Callithrix jacchus: one gene and its partners. The protein of the gene in region 1 interacts with the protein of each later gene in a pairwise test. Links are inferred from orthologs where the notes say so. Each region holds a gene or a part of one and is shown on either strand. Other genes may lie near its edges.

The links.
Region 2: the proteins of PRMT1 (region 1) and CDC37 interact in binary tests that used the Homo sapiens proteins (3 or more experiments, as listed by UniProt). The link is inferred for Callithrix jacchus from reciprocal best matches to the Homo sapiens genes PRMT1 and CDC37.
Region 3: the proteins of PRMT1 (region 1) and SPEG interact in binary tests that used the Homo sapiens proteins (3 or more experiments, as listed by UniProt). The two-hybrid records come from large-scale screens. The link is inferred for Callithrix jacchus from reciprocal best matches to the Homo sapiens genes PRMT1 and SPEG.
Region 4: the proteins of PRMT1 (region 1) and HNRNPR interact in binary tests that used the Homo sapiens proteins (3 or more experiments, as listed by UniProt). The link is inferred for Callithrix jacchus from reciprocal best matches to the Homo sapiens genes PRMT1 and HNRNPR.

Annotation. Positions count from the first base shown.
Region 1 is NC_133523.1:43,444,234-43,448,274, forward strand, and holds the start of PRMT1 (protein arginine N-methyltransferase 1), read left to right. Parts: upstream 1-1,241; 5' UTR 1,242-1,285; coding exon 1,286-1,321; intron 1,322-1,420; exon of another isoform or gene 1,421-1,602; intron 1,603-3,560; coding exon 3,561-3,614; intron 3,615-3,825; exon of another isoform or gene 3,826-3,922; coding exon of another isoform or gene 3,923-3,940; intron 3,941-4,041. UniProt on the Homo sapiens protein: Arginine methyltransferase that methylates (mono and asymmetric dimethylation) the guanidino nitrogens of arginyl residues present in proteins such as ESR1, histone H2, H3 and H4, FMR1, ILF3, HNRNPA1, HNRNPD, NFATC2IP, SUPT5H, TAF15, EWS, HABP4, SERBP1, RBM15, FOXO1, CHTOP, MAP3K5/ASK1, MICU1 and NPRL2.
Region 2 is NC_133523.1:9,585,356-9,588,855, reverse strand, and holds part of CDC37 (hsp90 co-chaperone Cdc37), read left to right. Parts: intron 1-1,432; coding exon 1,433-1,708; intron 1,709-2,082; coding exon 2,083-2,191; intron 2,192-2,283; coding exon 2,284-2,399; intron 2,400-2,479; coding exon 2,480-2,602; intron 2,603-3,500. UniProt on the Homo sapiens protein: Co-chaperone that binds to numerous kinases and promotes their interaction with the Hsp90 complex, resulting in stabilization and promotion of their activity. Inhibits HSP90AA1 ATPase activity.
Region 3 is NC_133507.1:141,187,900-141,191,399, reverse strand, and holds part of SPEG (striated muscle preferentially expressed protein kinase), read right to left. Parts: intron 3,441-3,500; coding exon 3,351-3,440; intron 3,269-3,350; coding exon 2,932-3,268; intron 2,546-2,931; exon of another isoform or gene 2,408-2,545; intron 1,193-2,407; exon of another isoform or gene 1,165-1,192; intron 154-1,164; coding exon 1-153.
Region 4 is NC_133508.1:60,092,910-60,096,409, reverse strand, and holds part of HNRNPR (heterogeneous nuclear ribonucleoprotein R), read left to right. Parts: intron 1-291; 5' UTR 292-303; coding exon 304-460; intron 461-2,682; coding exon 2,683-2,801; intron 2,802-3,416; coding exon 3,417-3,500. UniProt on the Homo sapiens protein: Component of ribonucleosomes, which are complexes of at least 20 other different heterogeneous nuclear ribonucleoproteins (hnRNP). hnRNP play an important role in processing of precursor mRNA in the nucleus.

The sequences.
Region 1 (4,041 bases):
CAATGAAACCCGGTCTCTACTGAAAATACAAAAATTAGGTGGGTGTGGTGGCACGCGCCTGTAGTCCCAGCTACTCGGGAGGCTAAGGCAGGAGAATCGTTTCAACCAACCTGGGAGGCGGAGACAGCAGTGAGCCGAGATCGCACCACTGCATTCCAGCCTGAGATACAGAGCAAGACTCCATCACAAAAAAACGAAAAACAGGACCGGGCGCGGTGGCTCAAGCCTGTAATCCCAGCACTTTGGGAGGCCGAGGCGGGTGGATCACGAGGTCAAGAGATCGAGACCATCCTGGTCAACATGGTGAAACCCCGTCTCTACTAAAAATATAAAAAATTAGCTGGGCATGGTGGTGCGTGCCTGTAATCCCAGCTACTCGGGAGGCTGAAGCAGAATTGCCTGAACCCAGGAGGCGGAGGTTGCAGTGAGCCGAGATCGCGCCATTGCACTCCAGCCTGGGTAACAAGAGCGAAACTCTGTCTCAAAAAAAAAAAAAGAAAAGAAAAACAAAAACAAAAAACAAACTTGGAATGATTATGTCAAAGGCTAGGATATAAGGATTTAATGTGTTGAGGCGGACACCTATTCCTCACTTGCTTAGGGACCCCAGACAGGCCCTTCCTCTCACTGATTCAGTTTTTTTCCCCCCAGAATGGGCACAAGCCCCCTTTTTCCTCCAGACCCTCCCCGGCCTGGGAAAATCCACCGAGTGTTCGAGGAGTGGGAGTTCCTTTGAGCCAATCGGTGGTGCCTGAAACCCCGCCTCCTTCACTACCCTTGGGCCAATCGTCGTGTTCTCCTTGAAGCCGGCCGCTTGGCGAGGGTGGGCCAAGGGCTGCGTGACGTCATGTTAGGATAAATCAATGGGAGCGATGAGGAGGCGGGTCGTTTTGGTGATGGACAGGCATTTCGAGACGCCCCTTTAGCGCGGGGCTCGCCGGGAAGCTTTGAGGCGGTGCTGGGGTAAAGGGGCGGGCATTTATGTAGACTTTGCCCAATCACCAGTCGCGCTTTTTGCAATAGACGGGCAGTTTTCCCCATCCCAGGTCGACTTGAGGGGGCGGGACTCTGGGCGCCAGAGTTGGCAAACCCCTGACCTATGATCGACGTCTTCTCTACCCAATAACTAGACGGTATTCTCAGACGGGCTGCCTCCTTTACCAATGAAATCTTCCGGCGGGGTCGCGGTAGGCGGGCCCTAGACCTTCTGGTATAAGACGGTCCCGGGGGAGTGAGGAGAAAGGGGGGGTCTTGGCGGCCGGAGGAGGATTAGGTGCGGGTGAAGATGGCGGCAGCCGAGGCCGCGAACTGCATCATGGAGGTGAGCGCTTGAAGCGCCGCCTTGAGAGGGGGGCGGCTTTGGGTCGGTGTTTCACAGCTCTGTGGTGGGGAAAGGGCTCTAAGTCGGCGACAGGAGGTTAGAGGTCGCCCGCCGCACACGGGGTCACCGCACGCTCCGCATCCGGGGATATCGTTTTAAGTTGCGGTTCCCTAGCTTTCAAGGGCCTTCGGCATCCGGCCTAGCGGAGGGTCTCATCCCCCCTCCCACGTGGAGGGGGGCTGGGGGCGCTTCCGGCCAGGCCCCCACGTGGCCTCGGCGCGGTGGGTGGGGAGGGGGTGTGCCGAGTCCGGTGGCCTGGCGGGCTCCACGTGCGGGACAAAGGCCCCGCCCCCGGCCGGGGAGGGGCGCCCGGGGGGGCGGGGAGGGGGCCCGACCCTCCGTCTGAGGCCACCAGCTCTCCTCCCCGGAGACGCGGGCACACGCCTTGGGGTGGGATTGATCTGGGGCCCACCAAGATGTAGGGAGTCTCTGGGGAAGGGCAGTGCTTCTCAGCCCTTTACAACCTCCTTCCGAGCTCCGGGGACATCTGTTGGGACAGCGGCCCCGGTTTTGTGCGTTCTGGGTTAGGCACTGGAGGAAGACAAAAGAATGGGGTCCCCCCGACCCCGTTTCCCATCTCAGAATTCTCCCCCTAGCCCAGAGCTTTAGGAGTTGGGGGATGGGGCATGCCCCTGTGACCTCCCTCTGGGTGGTTGTGGGGCATCTAGGTGGAGATTTTCCCATTAATAGGTGCCGTGCACCCCCTTGTGGCCATTTCTGGGTGTGTGGGAGGAACATCTTTTTCATGGGGCGTGTCCCGAAGCCCACCTACCGTCGGATTTCTTCCGGGCGGGGGAGGGAGGAGGGTATATCCGCTGGGAATGAGTGGTGGTGGGAAATACGTAGGCTGAGAGCTTTATCCTCTCCTGGAGCCCTTTATCTCCCCCGGGCCTTTGTGAGGGCGGGAGATGACCCCCCCCCCAGGGGGTCCTGAACCCCGGGGTCCTGAGGCTGGCTGCCTGAAAGGGTTTCGAGTTAGGTTGGGTTCTCTTTCAGCCATGTGGGGGAGGTTTCCGTCTTGCGTTTCAAGCCCTCTTGGGCTGGAATTGTCTTGAGGTAGTTTTCAGCGTGATTGAGAAATGGGCCCCCGCGGGAAAACCCCCCAGCACTTCTTATAGGCATCCGCGCTGGCTTGGGAGAGCTGGGGGGAGGGTGCTTGCAGCCTAGTAGGTCATGGCCTGTGATGTGGCCCTTCTTGGAGACTTGGAAAGTGGTCACATCTGGAAGAGATGTAATCTGATGGGACCTCTGTTCTTCCACCCCTTACCTATGGCACTGGCTGGAGGGGCAGGTCAGCTCTCAGGATGCAGTTCCCAGGGGTCACTGCTATGACTTCCCACCCCCTTGGCGGTCTCCTGCACCAGGGCTCTAAGGGTGGAGGAAATATCTTCCCCAGGGGTGGCCTCAGGCTTGGCCGCACCTAGGGGTCTTCAGGGCCTAGGATGGGTGTCTGAATGGAGGCGATGGGCTGACTCCCCAAGCCACTTTCTGGAGTCCTCTCATTCTTAGAGAGTCCAGGGGCTGCCCATCATCCCTGGGACTCCATCTTCCAGGGCAGAGGGTTGTAAGGGAGGGGGTTGGTTCCCGCTGGTTTTGTTTGGGGGCTCCTGAGCCCAAGGCAGGAGCTGGGGACTGGGGTACTAGCTCTGGGGGAGTGCCTGTGGGCCAAACCTCTTTTCTGGAATCCTCTCAGACAAGAGACTGGTTTGCAGAGGTGGCAGATGCCCTGTGGGCATAGCCTGCCAGCCCCCCTCCCTCCTGCTATTCATGGCACCCTAGGATAGGGGTGTGTGTGTCAGGAAGTGTCACCTAATCTGGGGGAGATTATGTGATGAGGGGGAGCGACAGCTGGCGGTGGCCAGTGCCAATTTCCCTGGCCTGGATGGGGGAGGTGTGTGGTCAGCTGCCTGGCCAGAGAGGAGCAACGTGGGGGCGGGCCACCATCTCTCCAGCCACAGCTGGGGTCGGAGACCCCCTTTCTTTTCTCTCCCCTCACTTTTCCCATCCCTTCTTAAGCACCCCACCTCATTACTTGCCCCCTTTGCCACCACTCCCCACAAAGAAGAAGAATTGCTGGAAACCCACCCACCCCACCTCCTGCCAGAGCCCAGGTCCCGCCGCCCAGCCCCCTGCAGCCACTCCTGGTAGCTAATCCTTTTTCCCTGTTACTCTCTCCTAGAATTTTGTAGCCACCTTGGCTAATGGGATGAGCCTCCAGCCGCCTCTTGAAGAAGTAAATATCCTTTTGTGAGACCCCTCCCCACCCTGACCTCCACATCAGTATATCTTGCCACACACTGGCCCTTTCTCGAGGTCTAATCATACCCCTCTTGCTTCAAACCAGTTGACCCCAGGCCCCCAGACACTTAGTAGCAACCCCTCCAGGTTCACGGCCCTGCTGGCCTCCCCCAGTATCAAGGCTACTTCCTTAACTCCACCTCCAGCCCCCCTTTGCCCTTCCCTGTGTCTGCCCCCGTTTTCCTTCCCCTCCCCTCCCCAGCTGTGGGCTGAGCTAGAGACGGGGGCAGAGAGACTGGAGATATGGTAGGCGTGGCTGAGGTATTGGGGTGCTCCCCTGGATGGTGCTCTGGGGGGGGTCGTGGAAGTGGAAAATGGGGCTGTTAGGTTTTGGGGTTCCTGGGGGGCTGTAGGGTTGTCAT
Region 2 (3,500 bases), about 34 Mb from region 1:
TGGGGGGAGGAGTAGGGAAGGGGACCAAGTGTGGGCGAGGGTGGCTCCAGGTCAGAGGGGAAGGCTGGCAGCTGGAGACAGTGTTTAGGCCTCCACTGGGCATCTCATTACTTATTCACTCAACAAGCATTTCCTGGCCAGGCACAGTGGCTCACGCCTATAATTTCAGCACTTTGGGAGGCTGAGGCAGGTGGATGGCTTGAGCACAGGAGTTTGAGACCAGCCTGGGCCACATGGCAAAACGCCATCTCTACAAAAAAAAAAAAAATTAGCCAGGCAGGATGGTGTGCACCTGTAGTCCCACCTGCTTGGGAGGTTGAGGTAGGAGGATTGCTTGAGCCTAGGAGCTCGAGGCTGCAGTGAGCCATGGTCGCATCCTGCACTCTAGTCTGCATGACGAGGAGACGTTGTTCAGACAAAACCGAACAAACAGAAACAAAAAAAACAAGCATCTGTTGAGTCCCTGCTTTGCACCAGGCCAAGTTCCTGGCTCTGGGGACAAAGTGGTGAACACATTCCCACATGTACAGAGCAGGGCTTGGAGGGAGGCAGTATGCAGAACATGATAAACAATTATCATATGATGTCAGTGGTGGCTGGTGCTGAGGAGGCAGGGAATGCCAGGCAGGGGTGGGGGGAGGTTGCCATCATCAGGAAGGTGGTTGGGGAAGGGGTCCTCGCTAAGGCAACATGGAGCTCAGATGGCTCGGGTGCCGTGGAGTCAGCTGTGGCGGGATCTGAGGGAAAAGCACTCCAGGTAGTAGGAACAGCCAGTGGGAAGGCCTTAAGGTTAGAGAAAGAAGTCGGCTCCGCAGAATGCAGTGGCTCCTGCCTGTAGTCCCAGCACTTTGGGAGGCCAAGTTAGAAGGATTGCTTGAATCCAGGACTTCAAGACCAGGCCGGGCAACATGGTGAAACCCCGTCTTTACTGAAAATATGAAAATTAGCTGTGCATGGTGGTGCATGCCTGTAGTCCCAGCTACTCAGGAGGCTGAGGTGGGAGGATCGCCTGAGCCCAGGGAGGTCAAGGCTGCAGTGAGTCATCTTCCGGCCACTGCACTCCAACCTGGACAACAGAGCGAGACCCTATCTTTAATAAAAGGGCTCAAGAAAAGATGAGAAAAGTGAGGGACCAGTGTGGATGGAAGGAGGAGTGACAGGGCAGATTGTGCAGGCCCACATAGGCTGTAGTGACGACTTGGGCTCTGTTCTGAGTGAAATGGGAGCCGCCAGGGTTCTCAGCAGAGGATGGAGGAACCTGACCCTCTTGGGTGTGCACTGGCACCTGTTGGGGCAAGGAAGTTGGGAGCCCAGGGCACTGGAGGTGGACGCAGATTTTTTCCCGGGGCTATCTCAGGAGCAGGGGTTGAGTATGGGGCCGGGGGTAAGGGACAGGCCGCCCACCAGAGTGACAGGCCGTTCCTGCCGGCAGGCCCGGGTGGAGCGCATGGAGCAGTTCCAGAAGGAGAAGGAGGAACTGGACAGGGGCTGCCGCGAGTGCAAGCGCAAGGTGGCCGAGTGTCAGAGGAAGTTGAAGGAGCTGGAGGTGGCCGAGGGCGGCAAGGCAGAGCTGGAGCGGCTGCAGGCTGAAGCGCAGCAGCTGCGCAAGGAGGAGCGAAGTTGGGAGCAGAAACTGGAGGAGATGCGCAAGAAGGAGAAGAGCATGCCCTGGAACGTGGACACGCTCAGCAAAGATGGCTTCAGCAAGGTGTGCAGGGCGGGCGGGCAGTGCGCATGCGCAGCCAGTGAGTGTGCAGCCAGGACGCATGCGCACCCAATGCCAAGTCAGGGGAGGACCCCGGTGGTGAAATTGAAGAGTGTGGTGTGGGGGTTGGGGGATGGACGGGGGCCATGTAGGGAGGGGGGACAGGCTTGGGGAGCCGGGCGGATGAAACACCCCACCGGTCCCCTCCTCTGATCTGCCCCAAGGCCCATGCCCACGCTCCCGCCACCTTGATGCTCATGGCTTCGTCACCACCTCCGCCGTGGATGGGATGGGCGCTGCGGCCACGGCCCGTCCGGCCGCGCTCGAGGCGCTCCGCAGCCTTGCCCCAGCCCACTCCCCTTCTCACCCTACCACAGAGCATGGTCAATACCAAGCCTGAGAAAGCAGAGGAGGACTCAGAGGAGGTGAGGGAGCAGAAACACAAGACCTTCGTGGAAAAGTATGAGAAACAGATCAAGCACTTTGGTGAGTGGGGCGTGTGGGTTATGGGGGAGCCAGGTCAGGGCAGGCCCTTTGTCTCCAGGGCCCTCCAGCACCTTGCCAGCATCTTCCCACAGGCATGCTCCGCCGCTGGGATGACAGTCAAAAGTACCTGTCGGACAATGTCCACCTGGTGTGCGAGGAGACGGCCAATTACCTGGTCATCTGGTGCATTGACCTAGAGGTGGAGGAGGTGAGTGGAGCTTTCCCAGGGCTGTGAAAAGGCGCTGCCACACGCCGTCACTTGGTGACACTGCCTGTTGTCCCTGGTAGAAATGTGCACTCATGGAGCAGGTGGCCCACCAGACAATCGTCATGCAGTTTATACTGGAGCTGGCCAAGAGCCTGAAGGTGGACCCCCGGGCCTGCTTCCGGCAGTTCTTCACTAAGATTAAGGTAGGGGCTGTGAGCTGCCAGGTGGCCAGAGGCCCCCTCCTCAGGGGACCAGCCTACAGTGCTCTGGGCAAGGCCAACTCCTGTCCACAGGGACTCAAACCCCTCCAATTGCAGCATCCTAGTTAGGAGACGGCGGGGGCAGGGAGGGTAGAGAGGTGGGCTGATCCTGCCAGACTTTAAAAGTGGACATCAGGCCAGGCTTGGTGACTGAGTACTGTAGTCTCAGCTATTTGGGAGCCTGAGACAGAGGACCACTTGAGCTCAGGAGCTTGTCAGCTATGGTGTGCCACTGCATTCCAGCCTGGGTGACAGAGTAAAACCACATTAAAAAAAAAAGTGGACACTGGGCACAGTGGCTTATGCCTGTCATCCCAGTACTTTGGGAGGCCAAAGCGAGCAGATCACCTGAGCCTGGGAGGTCGCGACCAGCCTGACCAACATGGAGAAACCACGTCTCTACTAAAAATACAAAATTAGCTGGGCATGGTGGTGCATGTCTATAATCCCAGGTACTCAGGAGGCTGAGGCAGGAGAATTGCTTGAACCTGGGAGGCAGAGGTTGCAGTGAGCTGAGATTGCGCCATTGCACTCCAGCCTGGACAACAAGAGCAAAGCTCCGTCTCAAAAAAATAAAAAGTGGGGGCAGTAGGATGTGCTGAAGGTCCCCATGTGGATTTGGGGGTAATATGGGTGTCTCTAGGGTTTTGAGGGTTTTTTTTTGAGACAGAATCTTGCTCTGTCACCCAGGCTGGAATGCAGTTACTCGATCTGAGCTCAGTGCAACCTCTGCCTCCCCGGTTCAAGTGATTCTCATGCCTCCACCTTCCAAGTAGCTGGGATTACAGGCACCTGCCAGCCTCTAGAGTTTTAACCTGTGCATCTGCAGGAACAGGGCTAC
Region 3 (3,500 bases), on another chromosome or scaffold:
CCCGGTGGGGACCGCTTCCCCACCCGAGGGGACGGTGGGGGAAGCAGCGCGGATTTGGAGGGAAGTGGCTGGGCCGGACGGCGCGGGGCTTCGCTGGCCAGCTGAGGCTGAAGGTCGGGCTCCTCCCTGCGCAACCCGCTCTGAGGGACGCTGCTGCAGAACCAAGACGGAGAGGGGTCGAGGATTCAGTAGGCCTCCCCTCCTAGACTCTTAGCTTGTGACAGGGATTGGGTGGTGGGCATGCTGGGCAGGCTTTGGGGTGACATGGGCCAGATCCTCTTCCCCCCGCCCCCACAAGGAGCGCACAGCCAGAGCAGGTGCTGGGGGAGAGGCTGGCTGCTCTGGAACCACAAGACTGGGCCAGTGGCTGGGTCTTGTTATGGACTCAGCCCCAAGACTCGGGCCAGCCTCCTTCCCCCAGTCCTGGAAGCCAAGAAACAGCGGAAACAGAACTAAGCATGAGGGAGAGAAAAGAATGAAGCTTAGGACCCAAAGGATGAATTGGGGAGGAAAGACAAGAGGGTGGGGTGGGGAGGGGCGCCCTCAGGAATGCAGCCTCCCACTCATTCCAGCCCCCAGCTGGTCCCCACACCCCTGCCCATCCTCAGCAGGGCACACCCCCTCCTGGTGGCCCCTAGAAGCCAAGTAACAGCCTCCTGGACCTGGCACAAGCCTTTGGGGAGCAGTGGACTATCTCTAGGATTTCCTGGCTGCTGTGTAGACCTGAGCCCATCCCTGCCGCCACCACCAGCACTGATGGGACACAGCAGGTGGCGACGGGATGCCCAGGATCCTAGTCCCCCTGCTCAGTCTGCCCCCAGGATAGGCCTTTGCCTTGCACTTCCCCTGGGAAAGCTATCTTGAGTGCTTGGAAATCCCCCTGAGAAGCACAGAAGGCCCCCCACAGGGGTATGCTCTGAAATAACTCAGCTCAGAAATAGCTACTAAGTGGGCCTGAACAGGGAGTGTGGGAGAAGAGGAGGAGGGAAGGAGCCGGTCACCCCAGAGTATCCCGTTCGCTTAACAGAGCTTTGATGCCCAAGAGCTGGGTCTGTTTTCCCCATCTGGACCCTCCAGGGGGTAAGGGGGCACATCACACATAAAGATTAGAAAAAAAAAAAAAGAAAAGAAAAAGAAAGAAAGGAATTAGAGGTATTTTCATACCTGACACATCGGAGAGCTTAATAAAAACCTGTAAAATGGCTCATTCAGTATTTCCTGTGTGCCAGGCTTGTACCAAGTTCTTAAAATGCATTGAGTCTTAATGCCCACAACAACCCTGTGAGGTAGGAACTGTGATCACCCCCATTTACAGATGAAGAAACTGAGGCATAAAAAAGGTTAAGTGCCTTACCAAGGTGACACAGCTGGGAAATTATTGGTGCTAGGGTTGAAACCCAGGCAGTCGGAATTCTGAGCCCTATTCCCTCCAAAGTGTCTGGGTTCCCAGGGCCACAGAAGGGAAGACAAGTAGTGGGGTACCAGCCACGAGCAGTTCTCGGGGTCTGAGTTAAGGATGTTTTAGCCTACTTGGGTCAGCCACCCATACGACAGACCCACCTCTGACTGGGGCTAAAAGGGGTGGTGGCAATGCAGAGTGCCCTGTGGGGCAGAAACCCCAGCCGGCCACCTCTAGGGAGGCAGTGTCTACTCTAGGGGAAGGGCGGCAGAGTCCCCAGGGAAGGGCCTCTGGGAGCTGAGGCCTGGAGAGAAATTGAGGACAGCAGAGGAGGCCTCTTGCCGGCAGCTCTGAGCTCCAGGCCAGGCTCTGTACCACAGACATCACTAAGGAAATGGGTTCCTCCGAAGTTGCCATAGCAACTCCAGGCTCTGGCTGGGGCCTGGTAAAGAAAGGCAGGGAGGGAAAGGCGAGTCCAGGGCACAGGAGTGCCGGGTAAGGCCAACAAGATAAGCCAAGGGAGACTCTCCCTGGCCCTGGCCCTCTCCCCTGCCCACCACTAGCCACTCTACCCACCCTCAAAACAGCCTCCCCCACCAGGCCACTTCTTTCTCCTCCATGAAGGTACCTGCCCCCCACACCCATACCCATCACAAACCAGGGCCCCCTCAGCTCCCCAAATGTCCCCAGTATCTCTATCCTCAGCCACTCCCCTCTTCCACTCTAGCACTTCCTCCTGTATCTGCCAGCCCCAGATATCCAAAAATGGCTCCAGTGCCTCACTCCATGTCCACTTCTCACACCCCCTCCCAGGACAACCTTGAACCCCACCGTCGGGAACTTAGGAGTTTTTATGAGAGAAATCGTTGCAAGACCCCTGCCACCCTCACTGCCCCCCTCCCTCCAACCTGGCCCCATTGCCAGCTCCTTCCTTTCCCAGCCCCCTGCCACCCCCAGCCCACGGCCTCCTGCTTTCACAGGCCCCTTGCCCCATCTGCCCCTGGCCACCTCACACTCTTCTCTCTCCTGCTTGCTTGCTTGCTCCCCTGCTCTCTCCTGCTCTCCCGGGAGCTGCCGTGTGGAAAGGTTCTGTTCCTCCCAGAAAAAGGCCCACATGGGAACAGGAATGTGCAGAGATGAAAAGGCAGCAGCTGCTGAGACAGCAGGCACGGAGGGGGCCCCCGGGTGGGGGGAGGGATCCTGGGGACAACTGGAGCCTGAATGGGTGAGGCAGAAGAGGGCCCCTGAGAAACTGAAGATCTTGGAGGAGACAAGGAAGGGACAGAAAGGTCCAGGAGACCGTGGAGATGGCACAGTGAGCCAGGACAGGTGGGAGCAGGGCGATGTGGGCGGTGATGGCTCAGGAGGAGGAGGGAGCAGTGTGGGAAGATGGAGTGGCAGCAGGGGGTGAAGAAGTGCACAGAGAGATGGATGGGGAAGGGTGATGGGTGGAGGCTGACGGAGCAGTGAGGGCAGCGCAGGACAGCGTGGTGAGATGGGGCAGTGCAGGCCCAGGTAAGGCCATTACTTACACGTGGATCGAGAGCGCCCGTCCTCTGTACAGGCTGAATGCGCTGCCGTACAGGTCACTGGCCACGGAAAGGCTATCCTCTGACCCCCAGCTTGCGCCCACCAGATTAGCTCGAGATGCCCGCACCAGCGGCTCCACCCCCAGGTGCCGTGGCCCGGCCCCGGTTGCCTGTGCTTGCCTTGGGCTGCCCGGGAGGCGGCGGGTGCCACCCCCACTGCCCGCTTCCTGCTCCAGGACCGTCTGCCCGCTGCCCCACCAGCTCACTTGCTCCTCTGAGGTCCCTGTCACGGAGGTCGGGGGTGTGTCCAGGGAGGTGCCCACCAGGGTGTCAGAGCCCCCTAGAGAAAGGAGCACCGTGAGACCGAGGCACCCCTTGTGGGAAACCCGCCTGCCTGCTCTTTGTACACCGCAGGAGCTCACCCGTGGGGGTGCTGAAGGCCCCGTCATCCCGAAGCTCCAGGCGCTGGGTCCCCTGCACATCGCTGATGTCATCCTCAGCTGTCTCTGAGTCTGGAGAAGAAGGGGTCTGTGTGGGCAGGGCCCTCCTCCCTCTGCCTCCAACTCTTCCCT
Region 4 (3,500 bases), on another chromosome or scaffold:
CAGAACAGCTGCTTTTGTTAATCAGCAATTCTACCTTCAGTAAATTAAAGTCTTTATTTTACCTGGTGTACATGAAGTTCCTTAAAGATCTAATGCTTCCATGTACATTTTCTTTGGTTTTACAGGATTATTATTGCCAATTTAGGTCAGCTACATCACAGGAGGAATAAATTATTATTTTGGTAGAGGTTATTAGCAGCATGTATACAAATTAGTTTAGATAAATCATGCATTGTCCTACAAACTAGTTATTTCTGGCTTAATGTAATATAGCTCCTGAATTTTTTCCAGCAGCATAATAAAATGGCTAATCAGGTGAATGGTAATGCGGTACAGTTAAAAGAAGAGGAAGAACCAATGGATACTTCCAGTGTAACTCACACAGAACACTACAAGACACTGATAGAGGCAGGCCTCCCACAGAAGGTGGCAGAAAGACTTGATGAAATATTTCAGACAGGTATAATATGCATTTCTTGTTTCTGACTGGTTATGAAAGTGAGGGCAAACCACTTTGAATTTTATAGATTTTTAAGGTTAAATAATACTGTTTCTGATCTGTAGAGCTTAATGTTTGTTACTTTCCCTTCATTGAAGGCATATTGGGTTTGACTTTGATACTCTTATTTCATTATTTTGAAGCCTTCTTAGTGTTGAATATACAGTCTTAGTTGTTTCAGAACAGCACATCAATTTGTCTTAGATTTACCACTCATTAAAATGTATGTTTCTGCATACCGAATTTTACATTTTTTTCTTAATCGAAATCAGTCATCATTTTGCTTTTACTTTTCTACTTTTAGCTTCTTAAAGTGATTGTTAAATCAGAGTAGGTCTGATTAGGTGGCATAATAAGAGGATAGACTGTATCGTCTGAAACCATAATAAATGTTAGACTCCTTGAGAGTTTGTGGCTTGTCTAGTTTCTAATAGAAATCCACATCTCTCCGTAATTTGGAAGTGTTTGGTTTGTAAGAGCTGCTTTTTTTTTAAATCTAGAAGTGCCATGGTTAAGTGCTTAAGCAAATTTGAACATCTTAATATAGTTGGTTGTAAGTGGTTTGAAGTTTTAAAGAGGGAGAGAAATATTTACCCTTAGGGAGTGTTGTTCATAAATAAATGTGTCCTCCTCCTTTGGGGCCATAGATGGAAACTTTCTTCCTCTGTGTTTTGTGTGCCTATTCAGATTCTGAGAGAGAATTGAATTGTCTCACTCACAAATGTGTCTTAAGTACAGTAGTAATAAATAGTTGTTTATTTTTTTGTCCTTAAAAAATTTTTAAATCTGGAAAGCTTAGCATAATTTTAGACATTAAAATGACTTATAAAAATGACTCCTGGGTGATGGTCTCATTTGAAAATCAGTCCTCAGGAACTTTCTGTGATATTCTGCCATAGAGAATTGGCAGTGATCTGCTTAGAGATGCTCTCTTGTAGAGTGTTTTGTTATCGATAAGAGGCTGACGGTTTGGCTTAGGCTTGGTTTGACAAAGTGGATTGGTGGGTGTCCTGAGTTGTGGCTTTGGGTGGTGGTATGGAATATTCAAGGAAGGCAACTCCAGTTATTTACACATGCTCATTTTGAGCTTTTGAAACAAATCATGGCAACTTTTTTTCAAAGTAACTTTGGAGGTGGCATTACATTTATTTAAAATTTACTGTATAGAATAAAGTTCTTTTTGGCTTTACCAAAATGGAGTCACTTTTCATGTTCATATGAACTTGGGGGTTTTAATCTACAAAATATTTCCATTTTACATTGGATCAATTCTGAAATATATCCCATATATATAAATATGACATAAACTTAATAGACTTAAGAAATTATATTTTAAAATTAGTAGATGTTCTATGTGCAGTTGGATATACTACATATGTGAAATGCAGTGTATATGTTTTCTGTTGAGTTTACTTGTGAGTCCATAAAGTCTTTATTGCCATTTGAAAAAGATTGTCATTCTTGACAGTCAGTGTTGTGAATGCCACAGCATCTTTTAAATCTCAGCTTGTCACTTCAGAAGAACGAAGAATGCCTTCAAATGTGACTTTCAGAATTGACAAATCAAGCTGCACTTGCATTTGTAGAAGTTTAAAATTGTGCCTTTCCACATTCTGACTGCAGCAAAGTGGATGCTCAGATAAACAAATGCATTTCAGTTTATCTTTGGTGTTAAGAAGGGAAAGCCTTTTGATACTTTCTGGAGAGTGGAAAGAATTAGTAAAATTTGTTTTCAGATTTTCCCCCACCTCTTATGTGGTTAGCATCAACTGTAACCATTTGTAATTTGAAGGTTTATCCTTGAAAAGTACAGTGTATTCTTATTACTCTAATATAAACCAAAATTTGTTAATGCATAATCTGTAATACAATATGTACGTCAGATTCAACTTCCAAGACTTATACCTTTGGGGGAGTGGGAAATGGATGTTAGGATTTGACGGAAGAGCTTTTGTGGATATGCAGATTGAAATTCATGTTTTTGGTTGTTGACATTTTATCTTTATTTGCATATTTGTACTGGACCGTTCTATGTAGTATTTGGATAGCTTCATATATGCATATAGTTAAATGAAAGTATAGTTTTTTAGTGATCATATTGAATATAACACTTCTTGATTAAACAATAATTTAGACTGCCCCTTTGTTGCAATAACGTTACCCCTTTTCAATTTAATTTTTAGGATTGGTAGCTTATGTCGATCTTGATGAACGAGCAATTGATGCTCTCAGGGAATTTAATGAAGAAGGAGCTCTGTCTGTACTACAGCAGTTCAAGGAAAGTGACTTATCACATGTTCAGGTAAGGTCATTACTCAGAAATGTCTTTGAATAATTAATGAGCTGAAATTATTTTACTAGTTTTTTTCCTGTGGGGAAGTGGTTATTTTTTGTGACTACCTCTTCTTCTTTTAAAAATTAAAGGAAAAAAAGATCTGCTTGTGGCAGAATTTCAGAAGCACAAGTATAAAGTGAAAGTTTCCTCCCACCCCTTTGTGTAGTAAGTTGTTTTAAAAACTTAAAGTCAAGTTTTGATGGTTGTTACTATAGGTTTTTACATGTTACTCAGCTTTTTAACTTTTGGGGGTTATCTGATCCTGTTTTATTATCTTGGAGGAAAATGTAGGTGGGAGGAATAGTTTCAGACATCTGGCAAAGATAGTCTAGATGCAATCACTTATCAACAGATGGAAGACTGTGTTTTCCCAGGGAGAAGATAAGCTCCCTGAGGTCTGTACTGCCTTACTGCTATCTGCTTCAGCCTCTGGAATGTAGTAACCACTGGGCAGATGTTTGTTTAATGAATCAGTAAATACTTTGTTAAAATCCTGGTCTTTTGAGATTTAAATTTAATTATATAACTGACCCTTCAAAGATTTTTGGTGATTCTTTTTATTGAATTACTTGTCTGTTCTAGAACAAAAGTGCATTTTTATGTGGAGTTATGAAGACCTACAGGCAGAGAGAGAAACAGGGAAGCAAGGTGCAAGAGTCCACAAAG